Linked DNA regions of Xenopus tropicalis. The protein of the gene in region 1 interacts with the protein of each later gene in a pairwise test. Links are inferred from orthologs where the notes say so. Each region holds a gene or a part of one and is shown in the gene's direction. Other genes may lie near its edges.

Region 1 (3,929 bases):
CCCTCTTTATAACCACAGAGCTGACGCTTCCCTTGGGCACAGCTGGGACGCATACAGCAAACCTGGTATTTATTTCAGTTACTGTAATTAGAAGTGCTTCGTTATGACTTATAACTTACTGACCACCACTTAGTCCATTGTGCCTTAAAGGAAAAAGAAAGGTAAAGTCACTTGGGGGTGCCAAAATGTTAGGCACCCCCAAGTGACTTTAACCGCCTACCTTTTACCCCGGGCTGGTGCCGCTGTCAGGAGAAAATAGCACCAGCCCGGGGTAGCTGCCGGCGCTTCCTCCTTCCGGCTTCGCTGCGCGCGCATGCGCAGTAGAGTGAAAAGCCGAACTTAAACATTTAAGTCGGCTTTTTCGCTCTACTGTGCATGCCCAGCCACCGGCAGTTTAGGAAGTGGAAGGCGGAAGGAGGAAGTGCTGCGCTCCAGGTGCCCCGGGCTGGTGCTATTTTCTCCGAACAGGGGCACCAGCCCGGGGTACAAGGTAAGCGGTTAAAGTCACTTGGGGGTGCTTAACATTTTGGCACCCCCAAGTGACTTTGCCTTTCCTTCCCCTTTAAGGTGGCCACACAGGTAGACCTAAGCAGCCAATTAAGTCCTTCAGACCAATTTGGAAGGCCTACCTGACTGATATCTGCCCGTATATGGGCCCCTAACAGGCCTACCTGACTGATATCTGCCCGTATATGGGCCCCTAACAGGCCTACCTGACAGATATCTGCCCGTATATGGGTCCCTAACAGGCCTACCTGACTGATATCTGCCCGTATATGGGCCCCTAACAGGCCTACCTGACTGATATCTGCCCGTATATGGGCCCCTAACAGGCCTACCTGACAGATATCTGCCCGTATATGGGTCCCTAACAGGCCTACCTGACTGATATCTGCCCGTATATGGGTCCCTAACAGGCCTACCTGACTGATATCTGCCCGTATATGGACCCCCAACAGGCCTACCTGACTGATATCTGCCCGTATATGGGTCCCTAACAGGCCTACCTGACTGATATCTGCCCGTATATGGACCCCCAACAGGCCTACCTGACTGATATCTGCCCGTATATGGGCCCCTAACAGGCCTACCTGACAGATATCTGCCCGTATATGGGTCCCTAACAGGCCTACCTGACAGATATCTGCCCGTATATGGGTCCCTAACAGGCCTACCTGACTGATATCTGCCCGTATATGGGTCCCTAACAGGCCTACCTGACTGATATCTGCCCGTATATGGGTCCCTAACAGGCCTACCTGACTGATATCTGCCCGTATATGGGTCCCTAACAGGCCTACCTGACTGATATCTGCCCGTATATGGGTCCCTAACAGGCCTACCTGACTGATATCTGGCCCCCAACAGGCCTACCCGACCAATATCTGCCTGTATATGGGCCCCCAACAGGTTTGATTTTCCCGTCAGATCGAGGCCACATTGGCTCATTGATAATGTACTCGGTCCAATGGCCCCTGTGTCTGTCATTGTGATTAGATTGTCGGCCTGATATTGCCCACCTTAGGGTATACTGGGAGAAGATCTGCTCGTTTGGCGAATGTTACAGTGATTGTGTTTTACTCTTAAATTGTCCTTGATTTCTATTAATGTTCATATTTAGCAACATGTGATTGGTGCATCAGCAGTGGGGCCTTTGTTTGGGCAGTGTGAATGCTTCTCATGCCCCTCTGTGTAAGGAAACGGTTAAAGGGGTTGTTCATCTTTAAAAATGAAATATGAGACATTTTAAATTATTTTGCTTTTGGTTCAGCAGCTCTCCAGTTAAATTTTAGCAAGCTATCTGATGCTAGGGTCCAGTTTAACCTAGCAACCAGGTAGTGGTTTGAAAGAGAGACTGGTATATGAATAGAGGACAGCCATGATATAAAGATGAGGAATAAAAAGTAACAATAACAATAAAACTGGAGCCTCACAGAGCAATAGGGTTTGGCTGCCGGGGTCAGTGACCCCAATATGAAAACTGGAGTCAGAAGAGGAAGGCAAATAATGAAACTAGACCAATTACAAAGTTGCCAAGAATATGGTGTTCTATATAACAAACTAAAAGTTAACGTAAAGGTGACCCCACCCCTTTATGGGGGGCCGCAGAGGTGTGAATGTGTGGGGGCGGGTTGGGGAACATTAATATATCCAGCCTTTACTTGTTCCCTATTGAAGCCACAAACATCTCTATTTATCTGTAATGGAGCCTGACGCTTTCATGTCCCGTATAAATCCCCACAGAAGCTCTGCTAATCTTCCCTCCTTCAGGCGCAACAAGTGTGACTTGCTTTACAGCTGTCACAATACTGTTCCAACGCTTGCCTTACGCCGCACAATCCTCTCTGATTTGTTTCCCCTCCATTAGCCCCCTCCTTTCCCATCTCTTGCAGATTTCCTTAACCATGGAGAACGAGGAAATCCCTGAATTCCTGAGCCCCAAGGAGGAGATTGTCTATTGGCGGGAGCTGGCAAAGAGACTGAAACAGAGGTATTTTCATTGGTTCCCAGCCCTTTTGTTATTCAGCGACTAAATGGGGCATTCTTTGCCCCGGTCCTGCCCCTTGGAACTGTGCCTGGGAAAGCACGTTTGTAACCGACGCCATTGAAACCCGTTTGTACCATCCCAGTTTAACCAGATGGGAAGGAAAACCCCTCGCATTAACCCCTCAGCGTGCAGCTTGGCCACGGTTAAAGGGGTTGTTTACCTTTGAGTTAATTTATAGTATGATGTAGAGAGTGATATTCTGGGATAATTTGCAATTGGTCTTCCAGAGAGTTAAATAGTTGAAAAACTACAAAAAATAAAGACCAATTGCAAATTGTCTCAGAATATCAATGTTTATATCAGACTAAAAGTTAATTATAAGGTGAACATCCCCTTTAAAGGAAAGTAGGGAGTGAGTCCTGGCCAGTGTGACATCTTGTTTTTGGCTTGACTTGCCCTTTATGTCAGAATAAAGGGCAAGTTACTTAGGGAGATGCCCTTTATCTTTGTGTATTGTGTGCAATAATGAATTGAATATTGATATACAATAGGCTACAATCGGCACCAATAGCCAACCGTAACTGGCGTTTCTCTCCTTAGTTACCAAGAGGCCCGCGATGAACTGATAGAGTTTCAGGAGGGGAGCCGAGAGCTGGAGGCCGAGCTGGAAACGCAACTGGTGCAGGCGGAACAGAGAAACCGGGATTTGTTATCTGATAACCAAAGGCTAAAGTGCGAGGTGGAGTCACTGAAGGTAAAGGGCTCTTTTACTGGCCAATTGTTGTATATCTGTCTCTCTCTGGCCTTCTCCATTGGCACATACCTGCACAATATTTTGCCCCCTATTGTAAAACATAGGGATATTATAAGTCCCCGAGGAGTTCCTTATAATATATAGTGAATAAAGTGCCCCCTATTGTAACATATAGGGATATTATAAGCCCCCGAGGGGTTCCTTATAATATATAGTGAATAAAGTACCCCCTATTGTAACATATAGGGATATTATAAGTCACAGAGGAGTTCCTTATAATATATAGTGAATAAAGTACCCCCTATTGTAACATATAGGGATATTATAAGCCCCCGAGGGGTTCCTTATAATATATAGTGAATAAAGTGCCCCCTATTGTAACATATAGGGATATTATAAGTCCCCGAGGAGTTCCTTATAATATATAGTGAATAAAGTGCCCCCTATTGTAACATATAGGGATATTATAAGTCCCCGAGGAGTTCCTTATAATATATAGTGAATAAAGTGCCCCCTATTGTAACATATAGGGATATTATAAGTCCCCGAGGAGTTCCTTATAATATATAGTGAATAAAGTGCCCCCTATTGTAACATATAGGGATATTATAAGTCCCCGAGGAGTTCCTTATAATATATAGTGAATAAAGTACCCCCTATTGTAACACTTAGGGATATTATAAGCCC
Region 2 (4,448 bases), on another chromosome or scaffold:
AATGTAATAATAAGATAAAATAGGTATGGGGTTCCTTATCCTGAAACCCGTGATCCCAAAACCAGTCATCTCCCATATAGCTTGTTTTCATCAATTATTTTTTTTCTGTAATAATAAAACAGTACCTTGTACTTATTCTAACTAAACTGTATAAATCCAGATTGGTGGCAAAACAATCCTGTTGTTTATTTAATGATTAAATGATTTTTTATCAGACTTAAAGTATGCCGATCCAAAACCCTAGTCCTAAACCAGGGGTGGGCAAACTACGGCCCGCGGGCCACATCCGGCCCGTTGGCCTTTTTAATCCGGCCCGCCGACTCCGGGTCCCTTTAAATAATTTCTGGGCCCTGATTGGTTGCGCTTCGTGCGTGCTCGTGATGTCAATACGCAGGGGGCGCAACCATAAAAAAGGATGCAGGGAGCCGGGGAACAGACGCAGCGGAACGATGGAGGGAGCTGCAGGTCGGAGAGGTGGAGGATGCTGGTGGAGGGGGAGCTGGTGGGAGGACGTTGGCCCGGCCTGGCCCGCCTGTGAGTAAATGTGGCCCCCGAGCCAAAAACTTTGCCCACCCCTGTCCTAAACAGTACAGATCTTATACCTGTACCTAAAAGATAACATAAATGTAACATAAATCCATGCAGATGTCAAACCAGTCTGTATTTTTAACAGTTACTTGGGTTTTAATAACCTTTAGGCACAGTGCACCGTGGTATGATTGTATGATCTCCTATTTATAAAACCTCTGGCCCCAAGAATTCCAGATAACTGAAACCATACCACCCGCATTCATGTAGCTTAAAGTTTTATTTCTAAGAATACAAAACTAACAAGTAAGTGCTGACACTTACCACTTGTTTACATGGCCACACTAATGCATTGGATGACTCCAATCAGGTATGGATTTATTATTCCTTTGGCCCCAGGCTGTACTCCGGCTCCACCCAAATCCACCCCCGGCACCACCCTTGATCCGCCCTGAACCCTGTTTCACCCTAGCCCCGTCACCTATTGCTGGCACTAGTTCCCCTTGGAATTAACTAATGTGAACACCTGCCTGAATTACCCCATGCAAATCTGCCACTGACTCCAGGATTTTATATATTCTATCCATGCAAGTGACTGCATATGCTGTGTGCTTTATATTTCGTCATTCTAATAATTATGATGAGAGATTATATTATTTGTGGGATGCAGCATTTTCACATCCTGCATATGGAACATTTTAACTTAGAGCATGAATTGTTCTCTCTTTCTCTTTTGTAAGGACAAATAAGAAGACAGATGCATAATTGTACGAATGGTTTAAGACTATACTAATGCTCTCTAAAGGTGATAGCCATGTTCATGGAGCCTTCAAAATCCCCTACAGCCCAAAAACAGGAAAGGTTTGAGGACAAACTTGAGAGGAGACTGGAATGTCATGAAATCCTGCGAAGCCGCTACAACATCACTTCCTGTCGCCAGGACACTCCCAGCTGGGGAAGAGAACAGGATAACCAGGGACAGTCCCTACGTCAGCAGGAGTTCTTTAAGAGGAGACATCTGTGGGCCGAGGGTTTGGAAGGCAGGCGAATACGGTCTCCCCCAAAATTCCAAAAATATATTAGATATTCTTCATTGAAGCACAGCACACATTTACAGTCTATAAATACTGATCATGGCTTATCAGAAAACAACAAGGTAAATGTTAATGATGTGGTTGTATGTATGAATCATTATCACATAAATATACCATCTTGATATCTAATTTTTACATAATTACTTGTAAAAATTAATTTGTTTAGTATCTTGATGCTAATAACAGAAAAATTAACATTACATAACATAAAAAGTTCTTTCAGGGTAGGGTGAATGAGGCAGTCACCTTAGGCCCCAAATTCAGAGGGGGCCCACCTAACTGACCCCACTGTCTAAAACTGTCTTTGTGCTGTTGGGTTTCTTTGTACACATGGCCATCTTTAATCGTTTTTGTTCAGTGGTGTGATAAATAGACTAATGGCATGGGGGAGTCTGGGAGAGAAGGAAACCTTGTAGTACTCTGTGCAAATATGGGGGAGGCAATGTTTAAATCAATTTTCTGGAGTGATGTTGGTGGCATGTATGAGGTTAATGCAATAATCTGAATCCATCATCTTCAGTGATCTTACTGGTATATCTGGAGTCAATGCACTCTTCTCTGTCTATTTTTATAATTGGCATGTCAGGATCATTATGACATATAGGTTGTATGGTAAAGAGTGTGTGCAAGGTGTGTGTTTTTTTTGGCCTGGCTGGAAACAAAGAGTAATGCGTGTGGTGCAAAAATGCATATTGTATTTATTAATATTTCCCCCATTTTCCCCTGTGTTTTGCCTTATTAGGGTAAAAACCTCACTCATAAAGGTGGCTAGGTGTCTGGGCTTTGTAATTCTCAATTTGTGTACTTATGAGATGAAGTGTAATATCATTATTTCTTAGAGCAAAGATTTCATAATTGTATTGGGCTAGCCAACTTTATAAAATGAAACACTTGTTTTTAATCTTGTTTAAACTAAAGCTTTGAGTAGCATATTTGATGCCTGAAAAAAGATGAATAAAATACATAAAGTCTTGTATATTGTAAGCAAAATAAAAAGAAGTAGAAAGGATTGTAAAGATTAAAGTGTTTTGAGGGCAGCATTTGATGGCATCTCAGATGTTTGTAGGGGCACGGCATGAATGCAACAACTGCTGTATGATTCACAAATGAGAACCATCTTTTGGAGGCTATTATGAACTGAACATTTCTGAGTATGAAATGGACCAGGGGTTCTAGCATCATTTAATTTCTAAACTCTTCATATGGAGATAAAAAAAAGAATAGCTACATAACTACATAATTTTTATTTTATATCAATGCAGACAACTATGTAAGTCTCACTTAGAAATAAGTCCAAGAGGGTAATGTAATAAAAGTTGCAAAGTTAGCTCTTAAATCACCCTAATAGTGCTGGCATAGATAACATAAGCCTTGAAGTACTGCTTCTTGAATTAATTTTTCAATAATAAATAACTATGTGTTGAGATGGTACAATGGTACAATAAATAGTTCTATCATTGTTTAAGGCTATTTGCACCTGTCATTCTGTTGGTCACTGCGCTTGAGTGGAAAACAGCGGTGGTCACAGCCCCCAATAATGGCTGTCACTAATTTCCATAGTGTTCTCTGAGGTGTGCTCTGCCTATGGCAAATCTTGTGGTAACAGCCAGACCACTGCTGAGAAACACTCATTTCGATGCGCCTGTTTTGATGCACAGTGTTTCCTATTAAAGGGCAGTGTTCACAAGTGCTGTTTTTCATCTGAGAGTATTAGCCTAATAAGTTTTAATAGCAAATGATCCTTTTCTTTTCTACTTTTAAAAGACACACCAAATCTAGGGGTACTTTTCTGTTGATGGCGCCACCACTATCTTCTTCCCTGCTCCATTATATTCATGTTTCCCTGGGCAGATGCATACTTAGTGCACGTACAAGACTTCTTTGCAGATTACTGTTTTGTAAATGTGCCCAAATATTGTTTCAAATATTATCAGTACCTGACTAGTATCTTTCCCCTCTGTGCACAGGGTTCTGCTTAGACTTGTTTTTTTATATTCACACAAGGGATCATTGGGAACTGCATAATAAATTACTAGGAAGCAGGGGCTTTTTAAAAATCCTTTGGGGCTGATAGCAGTAGTTTATTCTTACTTAGTTTCATTATTTTTTCTTACATCTTATACATTCAGCTTTCTGTTATAAAACTGGTATATTGTATTTTTTTGTAAATTGTCAGGCCTAATTATATAATTTAGTATAAATCAAAAAATTTTTTGTAATCATTGGATGTTTCCACATTGCAGCTTTCCAGGAAACATAATCACTCTAAGACTTACCCATTTGACTATAAAGGTTTGAACCTGGATACACTAAACAAAGGTTCTCAATGGGATTCTGCACACGACCTAATCAACAGGAATAAAATGTCCACGAGAGAAAAAGGTAAAGCAGTTTGGTTATATTTAGCGCTGCATATTTGTGGCAGAAAGTTATGTGACACAGGTATGGGATCTGTTATAGATTGTGTAGAATCTGAGTTTTTCCAGAGAGAAATAAATAAATAACACAAATTGGAATAATTTGTAATAAAGTAAGGTAATTGTAATAAAGTTATTATTATTAAGATTATTAATATGGCTTACAGCTTAAAGCCATATGTTAAATAAATATACATATGCGTGTGAATTTATATTATGAGAATATAATAATTTATTTTATAATATTTTTACATAAAAACTTTTAAACTCACATTTGAATCCATTTACAGGATAGCAAAATAATACTGTGTAATAATCCAAAGACCTGCATTCTAGGTCTTCTAGTAGTTGCTTACTTTATTCCAAAATTTGAAAGGGGGTAGGATAAAGTGTTGAAGCTTTTAGGTTT
Region 3 (4,533 bases), on another chromosome or scaffold:
TTCTTTCTAATGGGGCTGTATTAACACAGGTGCATGTAAGTGCCCAACGCAGGTGGAACGCAATATGGGTGGCTGGGAGTGGGGACAAAATGGGACGGGCCATGATGTAAATGGAGCATGACAAGGGATATGGATGCTGTCAAAAGGGGCAGAGCTATGATAACGACAGGTGGTTTAAAAGTAGAGTGGGGGGGGTGACAAAAGGTTGGTTTGGGTCACAAGCTTAGGTGGGTGGCACAGGGGCTAAATGTAGAGATATTACACATTTACCGGCAATGCACTGTTCCCGGCCTTGCCGGGTGTTTTACCGGCTATACTGGTAAAATACAAGCCAGGTGACAACCCTAGCTCAAGATCGCAGGTGTCACCCATCCTGATCGACAACCTGGGGGACCAATGAGACAGAAGTGGCTTCAAAAGGTAAACCTAAAGTTGTAATTTTTTTCTGGAAAAAATACTGACCTTCCTATATACTGTATTTGCTCTTTTTGCCTATTAATAATATTGGCATCAAGCATCATTTTTACAGGCCAGGTTGCAACCCTAGGTAAAGCTTGTCAGCTTGTCACTCCCAATATGGATGTGGGACGCTTTAAAGGAATACTGTAATGGGAAAATATATTTTTTTTCAAAACCCATCAGTTAATAGAGCTTCTCCAGTAGAATCCTGCATTGTAATCTGTTTTTTAAAAACACAAACAGATTTTTTATATTTAATTTTGAAATTTCCCATGGGGCTAGCCATACTCTTCATTTCCCAGGGTACCACAGCCATGTGACCTGTGCTCTGATAAACTTCAGTCACACTTTACGGTTGTGCTGCAAGTTGGAGTGATATCCCCCCCCTCCCCTTCCAGCAGGCGATCAGCAGAACAATGGGAAGGGAGCAAGATAGCAGCTCCCAGTAGGTATCAGAATAGCACTCAATAGTAAGAAATCCAAGTCCGGCTTGGGACTCCTCCAGTTACATGGGAGTAGGAGAAACAATAGGTTAGCTGAAAGCAGTTCTAATGTGTAGCGCTGGCTGAAAGCTCAGACTCAGGCACAAGGCACTGAGATGGCGCCTACACACCAATATTACAGCTACAAATACATTTGTTGGTTCAAGAATAAAAGTTTAAATGGCAGAGGGAATTATTTGCTATGTAAACAGTGTCATTTAGAAATAAAAAGTTCCCCATAAATATACTCCCAACAACATGAGGGAATCTTTTTTTTTTTACTCAGGTAAGTTTATTGAAGAGGTACATAACAGTGCATAGGTACAATGGTCATTTTCTTGGAAAACTTTTGTATGAGGGAATCTTTAATCATCACACAATATCTATGGGTTGGTCTTTGTGGGTATTTTTTATCAAACACCATAAAGAAACGTAAACGTCCGGGCAACTCCAGGAGACTATCCAATCAGAGCGCTGCTCGGTGCGCTACGTCATTTCCGGTTTGCGCTTGAATGGAAATGGCGGCAGATAAGAATGCGAGCCTAATGTCCGCCAATTGTACCTATGGGGGAGAAAATGAAAACGCGGGGAAGCTATCTAATTCACAGGATGATCCGCCGGTCGTGTTTCTTTGCAGCCATTGCAAGAGGCCGATAGGTGACACGTACAGCTGGATGGGCAGCGACATGGGGGAGCAGACAATACTACTGAAAGGTGCTGAATGGGGAAAATGGACCTTGGTTTTTATTATGCGGGGTTACTGGTTCTGCTGTTTCTATTGTGTGCAGTGTTAGCGCTCTGCCACTAGGCGTCGCTGTGCTACCATGTTCTATTAGTGTCCCTAATACTAGACCTGCAGCAGCAGCAGAAAGTCACCAAGTACCCCACTTTGTTTCTTTCTTTTGACCACACATTTAATTTAATATTTGACATTTTAACGCCCTACTAAGCATTGCAGAGAGTTCATTATAGGAGTTGCCTACCTGCACATTAAATGACAATGTTAATGATTTTAAAGTTATTTATTGCTGTAAAGCAAGTGGCTAAAATACGCTTGTCCTGACTGCTGGCTTTTTGGAGTTTTATATGGTTAGTCAGCTCTCCTCCATCCCGGCCTCCTGTTGCAAAATTGCCTTGTATATTCTGCCATTAGCAGACTGGAGAGGGTGAGCTCAGAAGCATGCAAGGCATTATGGGAACTTTTGGCTGGAGGAGAGATGGTTCTGCTACAGCAGGGGTAGGGATCCTATGGCTCGGGAGCCAGATGTGGCTCTTTTGATGGCTGCATCTGACTCTCGCTGCCAAATCTTTAATAAAAAAATAACGGAGGGTGTGGCCTGCGCTCGGCGGATAGAAGACGTGTTCTAAGGCTTAGAACGCGTCTTCTATCCGCCAAGCGTAGGCCATGTCCTCCTCCGCTTTGCATCCGGCATCCTTTGCACCCACCCTACCTTGCCCCTGCACTCGGCAGGTAGAAGAGTATTCTAAGCCTTAGAACACGTCTTCTATTCGCCGAGCGCAGGCCACGCCCTCCTCTGCACCGCATCCGGCATCCTTGGGATCCACCCTACCTTTCCCCGCAGCATCCGCGGTTAAACATATTGTATGGCTCTCACGGAATTACATTTTAAAACGTGGTGTTTATGGCTCTCTCAGCCAAAAAGGTTCCCGACCCCTGTGCTACATTGTTTCTGTAGTCAGGCAAGCAGTGCAGAGAATAGAAAAGGATTAAAGCTTTGCACTTCTCAGACAATATTGTGCTGATGTGTAATTGAAGGTGTGAGGGTTCATTAGTTGACACTATACATGTGTACAGAATTATTTGTGTCTATACAATCTGCAGGGAGCACTCAAACACTCCAGGGTGGCGTCTGTAAAATCTAGGGGCTGCATCTGATCTTAGAGGGGCTCCATGTGGGTATGCAATTTAAAGGAGACATATAGGATTAAAGGAACAGTAACACCAAAAAATGAAAGAGCTTTAAAGTAATAAAAATATAATGCACTGTTGCCCTGCACTGGTAAAACTGGTGTGTTTGCTACAGTAACACTACTATAATTTATATAATAAGCTGCTGTGTAGCCCCGGGGGCAGCCATTCAAGCTGGAAAAAAGGAGAAAAGGCACAGGTTACATAGCAGATAACAGATAAGCTCTGTAGAATACAATAGTGTTTTATCTGTTATCTGCTATGTGCCTGTGCCTTTTCTCCTTTGAATGGCTGCCCCCATGGCTACATAGCAGCTTATTTATATAAATTATAGACTTTCTGAAGTAAACACACAACTTTTACCAGTGCAGGGCAGCAGCACATTACATTTTAGTTACTTTTATACACTTTCATTTTTTGGTGTTACTGTTCCTTTAAAGCAAAGACAGGCTTCAGTTCCCTATCAGGTCAGCCTGGCTGCTGATTGGTTCCTGTCCTGCAGTGTACTGAGAGCTGCCGGCCCCCCCGCACAGCCTGGGAAAGGAGGCAGCAGAGGAACAGATGGGCGGGACTAATGGGGTTTTTAAAGAAATTTTTAGTAAATCAACTTGAAACACTACTTTTTAAAGTACATTCCTTCTATAGTTAATGAGTACAATTCATTGGCACAATATTGTTTTCCACGCAGTATGTCCCCTTTAACGACCGCTGAGTGTACCATGTGACCAGCATCATGTCCTGTTAAAGGTCTATTGGGACTTTTGATTTTTCTTTCCTTATTTTTAAAAACTGAATTGATCGGCATGTGGTTCTCTTGCAGCTGTATCTGAATACGTTTCGGTGGATAAAGTGCAGATCGTCTCGAAGGTTTCCAGTGACTATGGCTGGTAAGTATGTTGTTCTAGTGGCATTCCCATCCCCATGGAAACCAAGCAGGGCTATTCAGATTTTGATTGGCTGTAGGGCCTATCAGGTTGCGACTCCACCTAATGATGGAGCATTTATACCTGTTGTTATGGCTCCTGCTTCTCATTATCAGCCATTATTGTTGGCTTTACATGTCTTATATCCATTCCCTTTATTCATTTAGCCATGTGAATTACCCCTCCTGCGATGCCCACTCTGGGGCAGTTCTTTATGATTAATGGATATGTTACCCAGGATCTGCCTCCGTTCCCTACGCCCAACACTTGTTAGAGGCCAATTCTGACACTGACATTACAGTGTGTTAAATCCGTAAATCCTATTGCCCTGCAGCATGACTGAAACACTTTGTCCCTAGTCTCTTAAGGTGCTGAAGTCCCAGCTAGAAAATCACTTCAGTACTTGGATGTCTTCTCCTTATTGTATTAGATATGGCTGCCTTCCTGCCTCCTAATGCCCCTGGCTTTGGCCAACCCACTTACCCCTGAGCTGATAATTACATGGGCTTCAGTGTTTGTAAACAATACATCCCGCAGGGAATAACAGAGGAAATAGGAAGCAGATGTCCGTCAGTGTTCAGCGACAGGCAGACAGACATGATGTTTTTGGGGTAACTGAAGGGGTGCAGAACCCCCATATGAACTTTCTCTCCCTGCCCATGATCCCTGAGGCTCAAACCATCTTGATTGTGGGGTTAAGCACTATGTATGTTCCACACTGAAGGAGTAGGAGGCCTGA
Region 4 (4,653 bases), on another chromosome or scaffold:
TTATATAATAAAGTATATTTTTTAATAATAATAATAATAATATAATAATAATATCTAATTGGACCCCCGTGCACTTAGGGTGCCAGGCCTTCAGGGCAGGACAATCCTTGTGCCCCTTAGTTACCCCTAGTAACCATATCTACCTATATTTTATTCATTGTCCTATAAATAAGACACAGTATTTGCCCCACTTTGCATGGAACACAATACAGACAGGGGCAATTAGTCTGAGTGTCATTATTGTATCTTATCTGTGAGAGACAATAGTAGCACATTGGTGGGTAATAAACCCCAGACATGTTAACCCTGTCAGTGCCTGTGTCACCCTGTATAACTCCCTCAGTGACTGCTAATATCCTTATCATTTACAGTAGGGGGTACATTATCCCTTATAATACATGAGTGATACTCAGAGTTCCCTGTATAACTCAGCCTGCAGCCTTGTGCCTTTATATGGGGGGCACAGAACCCCTCAGTGACTGCTAATATCCTTATCATTTACAGTAGGGGGTACATTATCCCTTATAATACATGAGTGATACTCAGAGTTCCCTGTATAACTCAGCCTGCAGCCTTGTGCCTTTATATGGGCACAGAACCCCTCAGTGACTGCTAATATCCTTATAATTTACAGTAGGGGGTACATTATCCCTTATAATACATGAGTGATACTCAGAGTTCCCTGTATAACTCAGCCTGCAGCCTTGTGCCTTTATATGGGGGGCACAGAACCCCTCAGTGACTGCTAATATCCTTATCATTTACAGTAGGGGGTACATTATCCCTTATAATACATGAGTGATACTCAGAGTTCCCTGTATAACTCAGCCTGCAGCCTTGTGCCTTTATATGGGCACAGAACCCCTCAGTGACTGCTAATATCCTTATCATTTACAGTAGGGGGTACATTATCCCTTATAATACATGAGTGATACTCAGAGTTCCCTGTATAACTCAGCCTGCAGCCTTGTGCCTTTATATGGGGGGCACAGAACCCCTCAGTGACTGCTAATATCCTTATCATTTACAGTAGGGGGTACATTATCCCTTATAATACATGAGTGATACTCAGAGTTCCCTGTATAACTCAGCCTGCAGCCTTGTGCCTTTATATGGGGGGCACAGAACCCCTCAGTGACTGCTAATATCCTTATCATTTACAGTAGGGGGTACATTATCCCTTATAATACATGAGTGATACTCAGAGTTCCCTGTATAACTCAGCCTGCAGCCTTGTGCCTGTATATGGGGGGCACAGAACCCTTCAGTGACTGCTAATATCCTTATCATTTACAGTAGGGGGTACATTATCCCTTATGGTACATGAGTGACACTCACATTTCAGGAGGTTGTTGCTGAACTAAAAGACAATAAGTGGGAGACACAGGTGCCTTCCTGCCCCTATGGGGTTAATAGGGAGGGGGAGGCCCAGATCACAGTGCCCGGCCCCGCCCAGCCGCTCCCTAACCCCGCCCAGTTCAGAGCTCAGTCCGGGCTGGGAGCGCAGCGCTGGGTATAACGGGTGGCAGTGCCCGGGGGGTACAGAGAGGCAGCAGGCGATAGGGAGGATACGGAGGGGCACAGGGGGGCACAGGATGGCGCTGGTGATGCCCCCGGGGGGGGAGCAGGGGTATATCCGCACGGTACTGGGGTACGAACACTTCCAGGAGTTGGACAGTTCTACCCTGGCTCTGCCCTCCGAGGAGCGGCTCAAACTCACTGCCAAGGAGCCTGTGGATAAAGCGCAGAGGATCCAGCAACAGGTCCGGCTCACCCTGGCCCGGAGGGGCAACAAGAGCGTAGGGAACGGTAAGTGATTGGCCCTGTAGGGCTTCCTTCCTTCTGTGGGGCATGGGGCTGGGTAAGTGGGGCTGAATGAGTGGATCTGGGGTGTGGCATTAGGGTATGTGGGTAGGTATAGGGTAGGTGAGTGGGTATATGGGGTGTGGGTAGGTATAGGGTAGGTGAGTGGGTATATGGGGTGTGGGTAGGTATAGGGTAGGTGAGTGGGTATAGGGGGATACAGTGTGTGCCAGTGGGTGGATATCGGTTACACTTGGGGTATATTGTGTTGGAGGGGTATATAGGGAAGCTCCAGGGTAAATACTCCGTCTATAATTAATGTTCCTATACAGAGAATATCTCACTGTGTAAGGTGCTGGGCACCCCCCCCCCTCCAGGGCACCCACTCACCCGGGGCACACTCACACCTGGAGCACCCACTCCCCCGGGGCACCCACTCACCCCCGGGGCACCCACACACCCGGGGCACCCACACACCCGGGGCACCCACTCACCCCCGGGGCACCCACTCACCCCCGGGGCACCCACTCACCCCCGGGGCACCCACACACCCGGGGCACCCACTCACCCCCGGGGCACCCACTCACCCGGGGCACCCGGGGCACCCACTCACCCGGGGCACCCACACACCCGGGGCACCCACTCCCCCTGGGCACCCACACACCTGGGGCACACTCAGCACTAGAAACACAGGAAATGCACGACTGTGACGCCTGCACCAATGCAGTAAGTGCCTGCAGGTATCGGTGCAGCGACGCAGTGTGTGCGTGTAACCTACGTGCCTGTGCGTGGAATTAGTGCAGTGACCCGGCGTGTCCTGCCATACAGCTTTGCACAGGTACACAGGGGCGGGGCTTTGTGTTCTGTGTGCAAATGGCTGCACTGATACCCCCAAACAGCCTGTGCCTTAACTGCCCCAACTGCCCCCTTGGGTTGTGGCTCATTTATAGGGATTTATTCACTACGGTAATTGTGCGGGGGGTCAGTACTTGTGAAATGGGAGGCTAATTCTGCCCCAGACTTACCCCTCCCACACACCCCTTCCCTAAAGTGCCCCTGTGCCCACAGCACTAAAATGCACCCCAACAGGGGCCTGTCTGTCACTTGGCGCTAAAACCCATTTTTAAGAGATGCTGATCAATAAGTTATTAATTCATCAGTTCCAATGGTGGCGCTGTTCCATTCAGGTCTATGGGAGACTAATACTGGTGGAAAGTGGTACTGCAGCTAATCATCTATATACCTATTCTAGCACTATGGCAACCCCTACCCATATGTATAAATACAAATATACAGAGAAGGAATGTTCTGGGCACACAATAAGCTGTACCCCCATACTGTACTGTCTAAGGGAAACACTATGGCACCCCCTACCCATATGTATAAATACAAATATACAGAGAGGGAATGCTCTGGGCACACAATAAGCTGTACCCCCATACTGTACTGTCTAAGGGAAACACTATGGCCCCCCCTACCCATATGTATAAATACAAATATACAGAGAGGGAATGTTCTGGGCACACAATAAGCTGTACCCCCATACTGTACTGTCTAAGGGAAACACTATGGCACCCCCTACCCATATGTATAAATACAAATATACAGAGAAGGAATGTTCTGGGCACACAATAAGCTGTACCCCCATACTGTACTGTCTAAGGGAAACACTATGGCACCCCCTACCCATATGTATAAATACAAATATACAGAGAAGGAATGTTCTGGGCACACAATAAGCCCCACCCCCATACTGTACTGTCTAAGGGAAACACTATGGCACCCCCTACCCATATGTATAAATACAAATATACAGAGAGGGAATGCTCTGGGCACACAATAAGCTGTACCCCCATACTGTACTGTCTAAGGGAAACACTATGGCCCCCCCTACCCATATGTATAAATACAAATATACAGAGAGGGAATGTTCTGGGCACACAATAAGCTGTACCCCCATACTGTACTGTCTAAGGGAAACACTATGGCACCCCCTACCCATATGTATAAATACAAATATACAGAGAAGGAATGTTCTGGGCACACAATAAGCTGTACCCCCATACTGTACTGTCTAAGGGAAACACTATGGCACCCCCTACCCATATGTATAAATACAAATATACAGAGAAGGAATTTTCTGGGCACACAATAAGCCCCACCCCCATACTGTACTGTCTAAGGGAAACACTATGGCACCTCCTACCCATATGTATAAATACAAATATACAGAGAAGGAATGTTCTGGGCACACAATAAGCTGTACCCCCATACTGTACTGTCTAAGGGAAACACTATGGCACCCCCTACCCATATGTATAAATACAAATATACAGAGAGGGAATGTTCTGGGCACACAATAAGCTGTACCCCCATACTGTACTGTCTAAGGGAAACACTATGGCACCCCCTACCCATATGTATAAATACAAATATACAGAGAGGGAATGTTCTGGGCACACAATAAGCTGTACCCCCATACTGTACTGTCTAAGGGAAACACTATGGCACCCCCTACCCATATGTATAAATACAAATATACAGAGAGGGAATGTTCTGGGCACACAATAAGCTGTACCCCCATACTGTACTGTCTAAGGGAACACTATGGCACCCCCTACCCATATGTATAAATACAAATATACAGAGAGGGAATGTTCTGGGCACACAATAAGCTGTACCCCCATACTGTACTGTCTAAGGGAAACACTATGGCACCCCTACCCATATGTATAAATACAAATATACAGAGAAGGAATGTTCTGGGCACACAATAAGCTGTACCCCCATACTGTACTGTCTAAGGGAAACACTATGGCACCCCCTACCCATATGTATAAATACAAATAT

Evidence for each region.
Region 2: the proteins of ndel1 (region 1) and TRAF3-interacting JNK-activating modulator interact in binary tests that used the Homo sapiens proteins (3 or more experiments, as listed by UniProt). The two-hybrid records come from large-scale screens. The link is inferred for Xenopus tropicalis from reciprocal best matches to the Homo sapiens genes NDEL1 and TRAF3IP3.
Region 3: the proteins of ndel1 (region 1) and mis18a interact in binary tests that used the Homo sapiens proteins (3 or more experiments, as listed by UniProt). The link is inferred for Xenopus tropicalis from reciprocal best matches to the Homo sapiens genes NDEL1 and MIS18A.
Region 4: the proteins of ndel1 (region 1) and pkp2 interact in binary tests that used the Homo sapiens proteins (3 or more experiments, as listed by UniProt). The link is inferred for Xenopus tropicalis from reciprocal best matches to the Homo sapiens genes NDEL1 and PKP2.

Annotation. Positions count from the first base shown.
Region 1 is NC_030686.2:49,776,260-49,780,188, reverse strand, and holds part of ndel1 (nuclear distribution protein nudE-like 1), read left to right. Parts: intron 1-2,393; coding exon 2,394-2,491; intron 2,492-3,088; coding exon 3,089-3,242; intron 3,243-3,929. UniProt on the Homo sapiens protein: Required for organization of the cellular microtubule array and microtubule anchoring at the centrosome. May regulate microtubule organization at least in part by targeting the microtubule severing protein KATNA1 to the centrosome.
Region 2 is NC_030678.2:50,647,841-50,652,288, reverse strand, and holds the start of TRAF3-interacting JNK-activating modulator, read left to right. Parts: upstream 1-1,312; 5' UTR 1,313-1,342; coding exon 1,343-1,684; intron 1,685-3,865; coding exon 3,866-4,004; intron 4,005-4,448. UniProt on the Homo sapiens protein: Adapter protein that plays essential roles in both innate and adaptive immunity. Plays a crucial role in the regulation of thymocyte development.
Region 3 is NC_030678.2:15,375,665-15,380,197, forward strand, and holds the start of mis18a (protein Mis18-alpha), read left to right. Parts: upstream 1-1,397; 5' UTR 1,398-1,453; coding exon 1,454-1,655; intron 1,656-3,691; coding exon 3,692-3,758; intron 3,759-4,533. UniProt on the Homo sapiens protein: Required for recruitment of CENPA to centromeres and normal chromosome segregation during mitosis.
Region 4 is NC_030679.2:2,928,613-2,933,265, forward strand, and holds the start of pkp2 (plakophilin-2), read left to right. Parts: upstream 1-1,517; 5' UTR 1,518-1,595; coding exon 1,596-1,809; intron 1,810-4,653. UniProt on the Homo sapiens protein: A component of desmosome cell-cell junctions which are required for positive regulation of cellular adhesion.